Linked DNA regions of Callithrix jacchus. The protein of the gene in region 1 purifies or fractionates together with the protein of each later gene. This does not show direct contact. Links are inferred from orthologs where the notes say so. Each region holds a gene or a part of one and is shown in the gene's direction. Other genes may lie near its edges.

Evidence for each region. The genes of interacting proteins can lie anywhere in the genome.
Region 2: the proteins of PTPRO (region 1) and DNAJB11 purify together in Homo sapiens (affinity purification with mass spectrometry; 3 studies listed by BioGRID and IntAct, with this or other methods). This does not show direct contact. The link is inferred for Callithrix jacchus from reciprocal best matches to the Homo sapiens genes PTPRO and DNAJB11.
Region 3: the proteins of PTPRO (region 1) and SDF2L1 purify together in Homo sapiens (affinity purification with mass spectrometry; 3 studies listed by BioGRID and IntAct, with this or other methods). This does not show direct contact. The link is inferred for Callithrix jacchus from reciprocal best matches to the Homo sapiens genes PTPRO and SDF2L1.

What each region holds. Positions count from the first base shown.
Region 1 is NC_133510.1:7,817,273-7,820,772, reverse strand, and holds part of PTPRO (receptor-type tyrosine-protein phosphatase O), read left to right. Parts: intron 1-2,186; coding exon 2,187-2,630; intron 2,631-3,500.
Region 2 is NC_133516.1:15,553,799-15,558,006, forward strand, and holds the start of DNAJB11 (dnaJ homolog subfamily B member 11), read left to right. Parts: upstream 1-1,408; 5' UTR 1,409-1,632; coding exon 1,633-1,700; intron 1,701-2,825; coding exon 2,826-2,982; intron 2,983-4,208. UniProt on the Homo sapiens protein: As a co-chaperone for HSPA5 it is required for proper folding, trafficking or degradation of proteins.
Region 3 is NC_133502.1:193,604,615-193,608,495, forward strand, and holds SDF2L1 (stromal cell-derived factor 2-like protein 1), read left to right. Parts: upstream 1-1,413; 5' UTR 1,414-1,419; coding exon 1,420-1,606; intron 1,607-1,959; coding exon 1,960-2,156; intron 2,157-2,979; coding exon 2,980-3,261; 3' UTR 3,262-3,381; downstream 3,382-3,881.

The sequences.
Region 1 (3,500 bases):
AGCTAATTCAATTATATTTTGCTGCATATTTATTTTTTATCCTAACAAATATTCTGATCCAGACCAAAGAAAGAAAATATATATGTTTAATAACCTAAAATAATTTTCTATCAGTGTAAAAAGAACTGACCAAAATATTCAATAAGAAAAATCTAAAACATGTCAATGCAATCATAGATTTGTAATATTTGAATAAAAAGCTACATGATATTACCAAAGGTTATAATTAAGTAACTCACCTGGATCTGGTAGACATCAGTTATTGCGGACAATTGGCCCTATGGCAGAAAAAGAGAGAGAAGACATACACATTATCAGATTATTAAAGGAAGATATTGAAATTCAAATGTATCTAAAACTTGCAGTATTTAATTTTTGTAGCATCACTAATATGAAGCACTATTGTAGGATGGATGGATGGATGGAAGAATGGAAGAATGGATGGATAAAATAAGCATTATTAATAAGTACCCATCACAAAAATAAGCAACACTGTATGTGCCTAATGTGACTGAGTACTCAATAGGAATGCTGGAGAGGCCATTCTTGTGAGTCTCAGGAAGGGATTATGATAGATTACTTCTAAAGCCTTGGCAGTTTGAAATTCTAAGCTGTCATCATTCTTATTCATTAGTCCAAGACCAGGAAACTGTTTCAGCTAAATCACGAATTCACCTAATGTCAACATTTAAGATTCTATTTGTGTTTTTCATTATTCCAGGTAAGAAGTAAAAACATTAATTGAATACATTCTACTTGGAAGTTGTTCTAAATATTGAGAGATGAAGATAAGACTGATGAGATAGGGTCTTTGTCCTAAAAAAATGGTACAAGTACCACACAAATGGCTGTCATACAAGGCAGACTGAGATAAATATTGTAAAAGAGGTACACAGTGATTTAACAATACACAGGAAAGAGATAAATTTTATTAGAAGCTCATGTGGACAGGCGCAGTGGCTCATGCCTGTAATCCCTGCACTTTGGGAGGCCGAGGTGGGTGGATCACCTAAGATCAGGAGTTCGAGACCAGCCTGACCAACATGGTGAAACCCTGTCTCTACTAAAAATACAAAAATTGGCTGGGTGTGCTGGCAGGAGTATATAATCTCAGCTACTTGGGAGGCTGAGGCAGGAGAATCACTTGAACCCAGGAGGCAGAGGTTGCAGTCAGCCGAGACCATGCCATTGCACTCCAGCCTGGGCAAAAAGAGCAAAACTTCACCTCAAAAAAAAAAACAAAAGGAAGTTCGTGAAAGAGGTGATAATTGAACTGCTAATGAAGGACAAGTAGAAATTGTTACAGGCCCTGTAATCCCAGCACTTTGGGAGACCGAGGCAGGTGGATCACGAGGTCAAGAGATCGAGACCATCCTGGTCAACATGGTGAAACCCCGTCTCTACTAAAAATACAAAAAATTAGCTGGGCATGGTGGCGCGTGCCTGTAATCCCAGCTACTCGGGAGGCTGAGGCAGGAGAATTGCCTGAACCCAGGAGGCGGAGGTTGCGGTGAGCCGAGATGGCGCCATTGCCCTCCAGCCTGGGTAACAAGAGCGAAACTCCATCCCAAAAAAAAAAAAAAAGAAATTGTTACAGGCAAAGACTATGCAGTGTGTCTTCATAATTTTTCTCCATAAGTAAAGTGTGCTCCCATAATTTATAAATTCGTTTTGTGCTCATATGTGTCATTTTGGAGAGGTCATATTTTTAACATGAGTGTTAACATCTCTAAGGGCAACACATGTATGCAACTATTCTAAGTGCAACTGTGTCACATGAAGTATTTTCACCTTGATAGCTGTAAATACACTATACTTGTTTTTTCTTTTTGTAACAAAAATCCAGAAACAGAGATTCATTTTTTGTAATTGAGATTATGATAAACTGAAAAATATTTACATACTCTGCTTTTAGAAGTGGTTAAATTACCACTTCAACAAGCATAATATTGCAAGTTAATATATCTGAAGTGATATATTAATAGGTACACATCGTCCACAAAATTTTAGAAGTATGTATATGGAAAAAGACACACTTTATCTTCATGTAAATTTGTCTACGTATTAGAAATAAAATTAAATTCCATTTTTAAAAATCTGCTTGTGTACCTGACTCATGAAGAGATTAAGTATTCACTATAATTGAACTAAAAATTACTTGAAAATGAAAATTCTCTCTCTTACAGCCCCTTATCCACCTCAAAATATTTCTGTTCGTATCGTAAACTTGAACAAAAACAGCTGGGAAGAACAGAGTGGGAATTTCCCAGAGGAATCCTTCATGAGATCGCAAGACACAACAGAAAAAGAAAAACTCTTCCATTTCACAGAAGAAACCCCTGAAATTCCCTCCGGCAACAATTCTTCCGGTTGGCCTGATTTTAACAGCCGTGACTATGAAACTACATCCCAGCCCTATTGGTGGGACAGTGCATCTGCAGCTCCTGAAAGTGAAGATGAATTTGTCAGTGTACTTCCCATGGAATACGAAAATAACAGTACGCTCAGTGAGACAGAGAAGTCAACGTCGGGCTCTTTCTCCTTTTTCCCTGTGCAAATGATATTGACCTGGTTACCACCCAAACCACCCACTGCTTTTGATGGGTTCCATATCCATATTGAACGAGAAGGTAAAGCAGTAGGAAATCAGAGGAAATAGAACTGATGCAAAGGAAGGGAAATTGAAATGTTTTAAAATATGAGTTTAGAAAGACTGATCATAGACAGTTAATATCCAAAGAATAATGGTAAAGGAAGGGAAGAATTTAATTGGGTATCCAATGCAGACTGAGAGCAGAAAACCCAAATGAATAGACTGGATAAGAATCAGAAGGTTTAAGTGATTCATAAGTTGTAAGTACTGCCAACTGTATACATTTTACTGCTCAACATTTCACATGCCTCAGAACAACGAGGAAAATATCATCTCTGGAAATATTTGGAATTAAAGATCTGACTATCCCAGAAAATTACAGCATATCCTAGAGAAATTTTCTGTTTTCTTATATGCAAATTTCTGAAACATGGCATCAAAGTAATACTTACGAAAACATTACTACTTCCTCAAGAATAGGAGGCTTGTGTCCTGCTAACCAGCCTCTCTTGTTCCCTTTAGGGTGTGCCCCTCTGGAACCAGAACCGCAGTTTACCAAAGAGAAGCTGATAGTAAAATGGAAAATACCCAGCAACTGCCATTTCCATATAGCTACCATAGCGTCTGAGAGTCACTCCTTTTATTTTAGCCCCGTGACTTAGGAAAATAGAGCCATGACTTTCAACAAGTCTGGGTCATGATTCCCATCTCAATAGTTGTTTGGTAGATTTTTATGGTTATTTGATATTTATTTAGTTTTTACAGCAATGTACTTCATTTTCCATTTTCCAATCTAGTAGTTTGGGTTGCAGAGGTTATAATTTATAAAAATTTAAAGTTACAATGATAGCCTTATTTTTAGAATAAGGCTTTCAGGCCCATGTAGTCTCATACTGGCACACTCTGT
Region 2 (4,208 bases), on another chromosome or scaffold:
GGGATTTTATTCTAAATGCAAAGGAAGAGTCATTCCAGGATTTTAAGCAGGGGAGTGACATGATTTGACTTTTATTTTTATTTATTTTATTTTGAAATGGAGTCTAACTGTTGCCCAGACTGGAGTGCAGTGGTGCGATCTCCACTCACTGCAACCTCCACCTCCCAAATTCAAGGGATTCTCCTGCCTCAGTCTCCCGAGTAGCTGGGATTACAGGCGCCCGCCACCACACTCAGCTAATTTTTGTATTTTTAGTGAGACAGGGCTTCATCATTTTGGTCAGGCTGGTCTTGAGCTCCTGACCTCAGGTGATCCGCCTGCCTCGGTCTCCCAGTGTGCTGAGATTACCGGTCTTTTTTTTTTTTTAATTATGGAGTGGGGGACAGGATGAGCAACATCTATTAAGGTATTAAGGAAGATATTAAGAGTAGGGGCAGACAGAACAGTTAGGAGACCCTGGCCAGGTGAGAGATACTCTGTGATCCAGAGACCCCGTAATGGAGATATAGTGGACAGATTCAAGTATAGTTCAGGGGTAAAGATTTGGATAGCTTATACATGAAAGGAATAAAAACACCGAGAGTTTTGTCCTGATCAACTAGGTGTTGTGTAACTGTGATGAGTAAAATTCGGGGAAGAGGGGGAATCAACTGCTTGAACTGTAATAATGGTTTTTATTCATTGCCTGCTTACCATGTGCCCAACGATTTACAGATATTTTTTCCCTGTAAAAATTCCCTGTAAAAAACAGCACTGCCAATAAGTACTTTGCCTTAGTTTTGCTGATAAAAAAAACTTAGGCTCAGACTCGGGAGGAGAAGAGGGATAGGGGAGTCTCACCTCTAAGTGGTGGAAGCTTAATCCTATCGTCACGGTCGGCTTTCCGAGACGGTTGCCTTAAGGAGTTGCTTGGAGAACGTAAAATAAGAGTCCGAAGCAATGCGTCCGATGTACAGCAGTCGTGGAATAACTGTACCGGCCCATTCTGCCGCTATACCTCTGCTCCCGCTTTCGGCGCGAAGCTGGATATGAATGAAATTCCATACTTGTAACAGAGAGAAAACTTTTCTCCCGCAATTGGTCAGTGCTGGGGAGGAGCCTCCTGATTGGTGAGAAGCCCGAGGAAGTAGGCGAGCCGGAGGGGATTTCTTGTACCTCAGGGGGCCCCCTCGGTCGACCCCGCCCCCTACTTACGTAATTTTCTACGACTCGGGGTAGCTCGGGCAGAGCCGGTTCCTGCAGCGGCGCAATCCTCTGACATCTCTTCTTCTAATTGGTCGGGAGCTGCGACTGCAATTCTGAAGCCTAACTGGCTGCCCTTGCCGCCTCGGAGGTGAAGTGTACTGCGCTGATTGGCTTCCAGGCGCCGGCCGCGTGTGATGTCCGGGGCAACGATTGGCTCTCGCCTGCTGGGGACTTCTCTCACTGGGACTCGGGACTCCCGGGAAGTGGACTGGTAGAGGACGGGGCTAGCTAGCTGTCTCTTCGGACCAAGGAGGAGACCCACCCCCCCGCGCCCTCCGGTGTGAGGCGGCCTCCCAGGGCCGGGTGGGCTGGCGAGCCGACGCGGCTGCGGCGGCGGAGGAGGAGGCTGTGAGGAGTGTGTGGTACACGACCCGGGACAGAGGAACCATGGCTCCGCAGAACCTGAGCACCTTTTGCCTGTTGCTGCTGTACCTCATCGGGGCCGTGATTGCCGGGTGAGGAGTAGACACGGGGCCGGTGGGTCAGCCTTTGCTGGGGGTGGGAGGGAGTGGGGGATGTGGCATTGCCAGACTGAGGGAGTGGAGAGGGGCATCGCTGTGGGGTGACGGGATGACTGAGGAAGGGGTAGTATGGGCCTGGCTAGTGGGGTGAGAGGAGAACCGTGGGTGACACCAGTGAGAGGGCTTTACGTCTAGAGAGGGCCTTAGGTAGAGCTAGATTTGCCCAGAGGAGTGGGAGTTGGATGAATTGCCAAATGGCATTTGGGGGATGAGGAGAGTTTGAGGGCAAGAAGGTGGTTGTGAGCTGAAGCAGTGTCACGTAGAGCTGGGGAAGAAAGAGGGGTGACTGACTGTATGGCAAGGTAATGACAGTGTCAGGCTGAGGTTGGGGGGATGGACGTTTTGTTTGATCGAAGAGGTGGGTTGCTGTGCCCCGCTGAGCTGGAGAAGCGGATGATACTCTATGCCAAGCCTGCAACGAGTCACTGGGGGGCCGACATTAAAGTGGGTGGATAATGCCAGATCGAGTTGGAACTGAACAAAATCGGATGGGGGAGGGGAGCAAGAAGACCCTTGGAGAGCCCTTGTACTTCCCAGCTTCTTGAGCTATGTATTATCTTCGGTTGCTTCATCTTTAAAGTTCTGGCAGTGCTACTGTTAGAACATTTAAGTGGCATAATCTTTTTAAATAAGGAAAGTCATCCTTTGAGAATGTTATTTGACTTTTAGAAAAGTCAAAAGTCATTTGGAGCCAGTATAGGGAAAGGGAGGAAGAGTTCATTTGACTATATGATTATTGCCTAAAAATAACATGAGACCGTAAAATAAGGAAGCGGTTTTCTTGATTGAAGGTGGCTCTAAAAGAAGAGTTCCACAGATGTTTTGAATAATCTAAAAAGAAGTATGTAGCCTCTTACTGTGATTACATCAATATATAATATTCATTACAAATTCTGGTGTTGTCTTTTTAGTCATACTTTGTGTGTGTATGTGTCGCATAACCCATTTTTGTATTTCTTTGCTCGGATACAAACCCAAATGTAGGGGAAAAATTTTTTTTGCTTTTAAAAATCTAACAGATAACTCTTTAATGAAGTATTCTCTCCCTCTACTTCCCAGGCGAGATTTCTATAAGATCTTGGGGGTGCCTCGAAGTGCCTCTATAAAGGACATTAAAAAAGCCTATAGGAAACTGGCCCTGCAGCTTCATCCTGACCGGAACCCTGATGATCCACAAGCCCAGGAGAAATTCCAGGATCTGGGTGCTGCTTATGAGGTGAGTCCTAAAAAATGATAAAGTATGAATAAAATCTGTAGGTGTAGAAAAAGCATTTACTACAGAGAAACACTCCTTTCAGTTCACTTTTATTTATTATTATTGTTGTTATTATTTTGGGGGGGGACTAAGTCTTGCTCTATTGCCCAGGCTGGAGTGCAGTGGCACATCTCCACTCGCTGAAACCCCCGCCTCCTGGGTTCAAGCAATTCTCCTGCCCAGCCTCCCGAGTAGCTGGGATTACAGGCGCACGCACCACACCCAGCTAATTTTTCTATTTTTAGTAGAGACAGGGTTTCACCATGTTGGCCAGGCTGGTCTCAAACTTCTGACCTCAAGTGATCTGCCCACCTTCTTAGCCTCCCAAAGTGCTAAGATTACAGGCATGAGCCACTGCACCCAGCCAAGGTCACTTTTATTTAAAAACTAAACAGTAGATAAAAGTAAAAGTAGTACTTGATGCTGTATTGTATTAGATATTAAATTCACATTAGTAGATGCCATTTTCTTCCTTTTTATATTAATATTCCAGAATAATGTTGAAAAAGAATAAATGACAGATGATAGATTAATAAGTAGATCAACTGGTCTATCAGTCAGTTTGGGAGCTAGAGCCAAGAATAAAAAGAAAACCTTCATGAGAGTTGCAAGCCTTAAATGACCATATGAACTAGACAAATGACATGCAAGGCAGATATAAATTAAAACATGGCAGCAGATATTCTGCCTCTGTATTGGGAAGCAATAAGGATTGCTGAGGACTTTGACAAACTGAAGGCTCCTTGCCCTATTTCAAGGGGACAGTTGTTACTCAACCCCAAACAATTTTTGTCATATAAATGCAAATAGTATTTTCCTAGATGATTTAATTTTTCAAGAAAAGTTGAAAATCTAGATTTTTATATAAATTCTGCTTGTGAAAACTAATTCAGTTAAATTTCTTTTTTACATAGATCAACAAAGCACAGTTTTAATTTGATTTTGCAACCTCTAATCTGGGGGTCAAAACACTTTCATGTGTATCATCTCATTTAATCTTTACTAGGACACCAGGAAATATAGTAGAGCTAGGCATATTTTCTTATTTTTTAAATGGACACAGAAGAAAATTAATTGAACTAAAAGTCACAGAGCTAAAACTCCCAAATTTAAGTTAAAATTCTTGTATATTGAGAAGGCTAGAAACAAATTGAAAAATATTTTAGGAAGACACAAATCTCAAAAGA
Region 3 (3,881 bases), on another chromosome or scaffold:
TTTTACATTTTTAGTAGAGACAGGGTTTCACTATATTGACCAGGATGGTCTCGAACTCTCGACCTTGTGATCCAGCTGCCTCGGCCTCCCAAAGTGCTGGAATTAACAGACATGAGTCACAGACCCCAGCCCACTTTTTTTTTTTTTTTTTTGAGACGGAGTTCAGCTCTTGTTACCCAGGCTGGAGTGCAATGGCATGATCTCAGCTCACCACAACCTCCGCCTCCTGGGTTCAGGCAATTCTCCTGCCTCAGCCTCCTGAGTAGCTGGGATTACAGGCACGTGCCACCGTGCCCCGCTAATTTTTTGTATTTTTAGTAGAGACAGGGTTTCACCATTTTGACCAGGATGGTCTCGATCTCTTGACCTTGTGATCCACCCGCCTTGGCCTCCCAAAGTGCTGGGATTATAGGCGTGAACCACCGCGCCCGGCCTTTTTTTTTTTTTTTTTTTTTTAAAGACAGGGTTTCACTCCTGTTGCCCAGGCTGGAACGCAATGGCACAATATTGGCCCATTGCAACCTCCACCTCCTTGGCTCAAGCAGTTCTCCTGCCTCAGCCTCCTGAGTAGCTGACACTTCAGGTGCGTGCCACCACACTCAGCTAATTTTTGTATTTTGTACTAAAGTAGAGATGGGATTTCACTATGTTAGGCTGGTCTTGAGGTCCTAACCTCAGGTGATCTGCCCACCTGAGGTCACAATTCAAGACCAGCCAGGCCAACATGGTGAAACCCGTCTCGATTAAAAATACAAACTTCAGCCCTGTGAGGTGGCACATGCCTGTAATCCCAGCTATTCACAGGACTGAGGCAGAAGAATCGCTTGAACCCAGGAAGCAGAGGTTTCAGTGAGCCGAATGACTTGGGTTTCATTAATTTCGGGGTCCGGGGACTCAAGGACCAGGCGATTCAGTGACTCTTACTTTGTAACCACAAAGTTTAGTGATCTAACAACCTCAAGACCCTGCCCGTGCGGGCCCAGGTTCTGAAGGGAGAGACTCAATACTGAGGACCCAAGAGTCCAGGGCCAAGGGAGTCGTGAACACGTGCCTGCAGAGCCCTAGGATCCTGAGCCGGTGTACAGGGACTGAGCGGCCGCTGGAGTCGGCGTCCTCACTAACTGCTCTCTCTCACTTGCCGCCGCTTGGCTTCTTAGCCGCCCTTTCCTGGACACTCATTGGTAAGACATTGGAAGCGTGGACCAATCAAAGCCCTCCTCGTGTCTCTAGTCCCCGCCCAGCTACTCCTCTCGAGAGCTGGAGGCGGCCCTTCTGCGCGCCGACCCAATGGCATTGCAAGCCGAGCACCGCGCGGGCCGACCATTGGCTGCCGCGAGCGGCCGCTGTCAGAACCGGATTGGGCCGCGGTGGGGACGGAAGCGGCCCAAAGGCCGGAGCGGCTGGAGCCTGGCCGGGGAGATGTGGATCGCGGGCTGCGGCGGGGCTACCGGGCCGGTGCTGCTGGGGCTGCTACTGGAGCTCTTAGTGCCGGGCGGTGGTGCCGCCAAGACCGGCGCGGGGCTCGTGACCTGCGGGTCGGTGCTGAAGCTGCTCAATACGCACCATCGGGTGCGGCTGCACTCGCACGACATCAAATACGGATCCGGTGCGTGGGGCCCGCGACTGGGAGAGCGCCAGGGACGGGGGCTCGGGGTCGGGAGTGTGGAGACAGGGTGGTCGTGGGGGGTCTGTGGCCCGTCTCAGAGCCGGGAGGCGAGGGCTCTAGAGCCGTTGGGGGATCGAGGGGTGCAAGGCTTTGAGGGTGTCGACGATATTGAGGGCGGGGACAGCTGTCGGGGAACTGCGGGCCCAAAGACTGAGGGGGGTGTCAGACGGGGGCCGGGGCTGGGGCGAGATGTTGGGGTCCCCCGGGAAATGTTACGGTCCCAGGGCGAGGATCCGGGGGTTCCGGGATTGACAGAGACCCTGGGTGGGGTGGGGTGGGGTGTCACCCCTCAGGCAGCGGCCAGCAATCCGTGACCGGCGTGGAGTCATCCGACGACGCCAATAGCTACTGGCGGATCCGCGGCGGCTCGGAGGGCGGGTGCCCGCGCGGGTCCCCGGTGCGCTGCGGGCAGGCCGTGCGGCTCACGCACGTGCTCACCGGCAAGAACCTGCACACGCACCACTTTCCGTCGCCGCTGTCCAACAACCAGGTGAGCCCCTCCCGGAGCCCCCAGAGAGACTCCTGGCCTGTGGGAGGCGCCGGAGACAGCGCCGTGGGCTCCAATGCGAGCCTCAGCTTCTTCGTGAAATGGAAATTTCACTTCAGAGATGGTTACTGAGCGCCCTCTCGGGGGACACAGAGTAACTCTGCCAGGGTCCCGCCCCCAGGTGCTCCCGGCCTGGCAAGGAGACCCACGGGAATAAAGATCCGGAGAGATCCGCCTAAATCACTCCTCTGGGGGCAAGTGGGACCCAGGAGGGGAATCCACACAGCCCTTGAAGGTGGGGAATAGGAAACTCCACAGGGGAGGAGAAACTCAGGCTGGGTCTGAAAAGATGTCCTCCAAGCCACAGAGGGAAAAGAGGGACTGCCCAAGCCAGCAGAAGAGATTGTGCCAATGCATGGAGGTCATTGGAATTCAGGGGGTTGAGATTGAACAGTGGGTGTCCTTGGGGAGTTGGTGGAAGAAAATGTTGAGATAGAGAGCTTGACTGTTAGCCTGAAGGGCTGAATTTTAGGCTGATCCCAAGGTGCATCAGAGAAGTTAGGACTGGGAGAACATGGAGGAGGAGGCAGCTCCGTGGGGGCCAGTGGTCTCTGCACAGACAGATGCAATGGTGTGTGTATGTGTCTGAAGAGCCCGTGTGGGGAGGGAGTGCTCGAGGTTGGGGGACTGGGGTCATGGTGTCACCGTTTGCAGCTGTGGGAGCTGAGGCTCTGGGAAGGGCAGGGAAGGACCTGAGGCTCAGTGCACTAGGTACGAATGCTGCCTTCTGTGGTGACCGCTGTCCCCTCACCTTCTGCACCTGTAGGAGGTGAGTGCCTTTGGGGAAGACGGCGAGGGTGATGACCTCGACCTATGGACAGTCCGCTGCTCTGGACAGCACTGGGAGCGTGAGGCCGCTGTGCGCTTCCAGCACGTGGGCACCTCTGTGTTCCTGTCGGTCACGGGTGAGCAGTACGGAAGCCCCATCCGTGGGCAGCATGAGGTCCACGGCATGCCCAGTGCCAACACGTACAATACGTGGAAGGCCATGGAAGGCATCTTCATCAAGCCTAGTGTGGAGCCCTCTGCAGGTCACGACGAACTCTGAGTGTGGGGATGGGTGGATGGAGGGTGGCAGGTGGGACATCTGTAGGGCCACTTTTGGCAGAGACTTTGGGTTTGTAGGGGTCCTCAAGTGCCTTTGTGATTAAAGAATGTTGGTCTATAATTCTGTTTCACTGTGAACCTGAGGATGACCAGGAGGTGCCAGTCCAGGACTAGCTGATCATCTCTCCCTCAGTGTAAAACCTGTCTCCAGCCCAGCCTAACTGCTGAACCTGTCCAAACCCTTTATTGTTGTTGTTGGGGTTTTTTGGGGGGGTTTTGCTTTTTTAGAGATGGTCTCACTCTGTTGCCCAATCTGGAGTGCAGTGGCATGATCATGGCTTACTGTAAACTTGAACTCCTGGGCTCAAGTGATCTTTCCAATTCAGCCTCCTGAGTAGCTGGGACTGCAGGCACATACCACCATGCCCAAATAATTATTATTTCTGATGAGACAGGGTCTTGGTGTATCATCCAGGCTGGAGTGCAGTGGCAATGATTGTAGCTCACTGCAGCCTGGGCTCAAGTGATTTTCCCACCTCAGCCTCCCAAGTAGCTGGGACTACAAGCTTGTGCCACCATGCCTGGCTAATTTTAAAAATTGTGCTAGTGGAGACAAGGTCT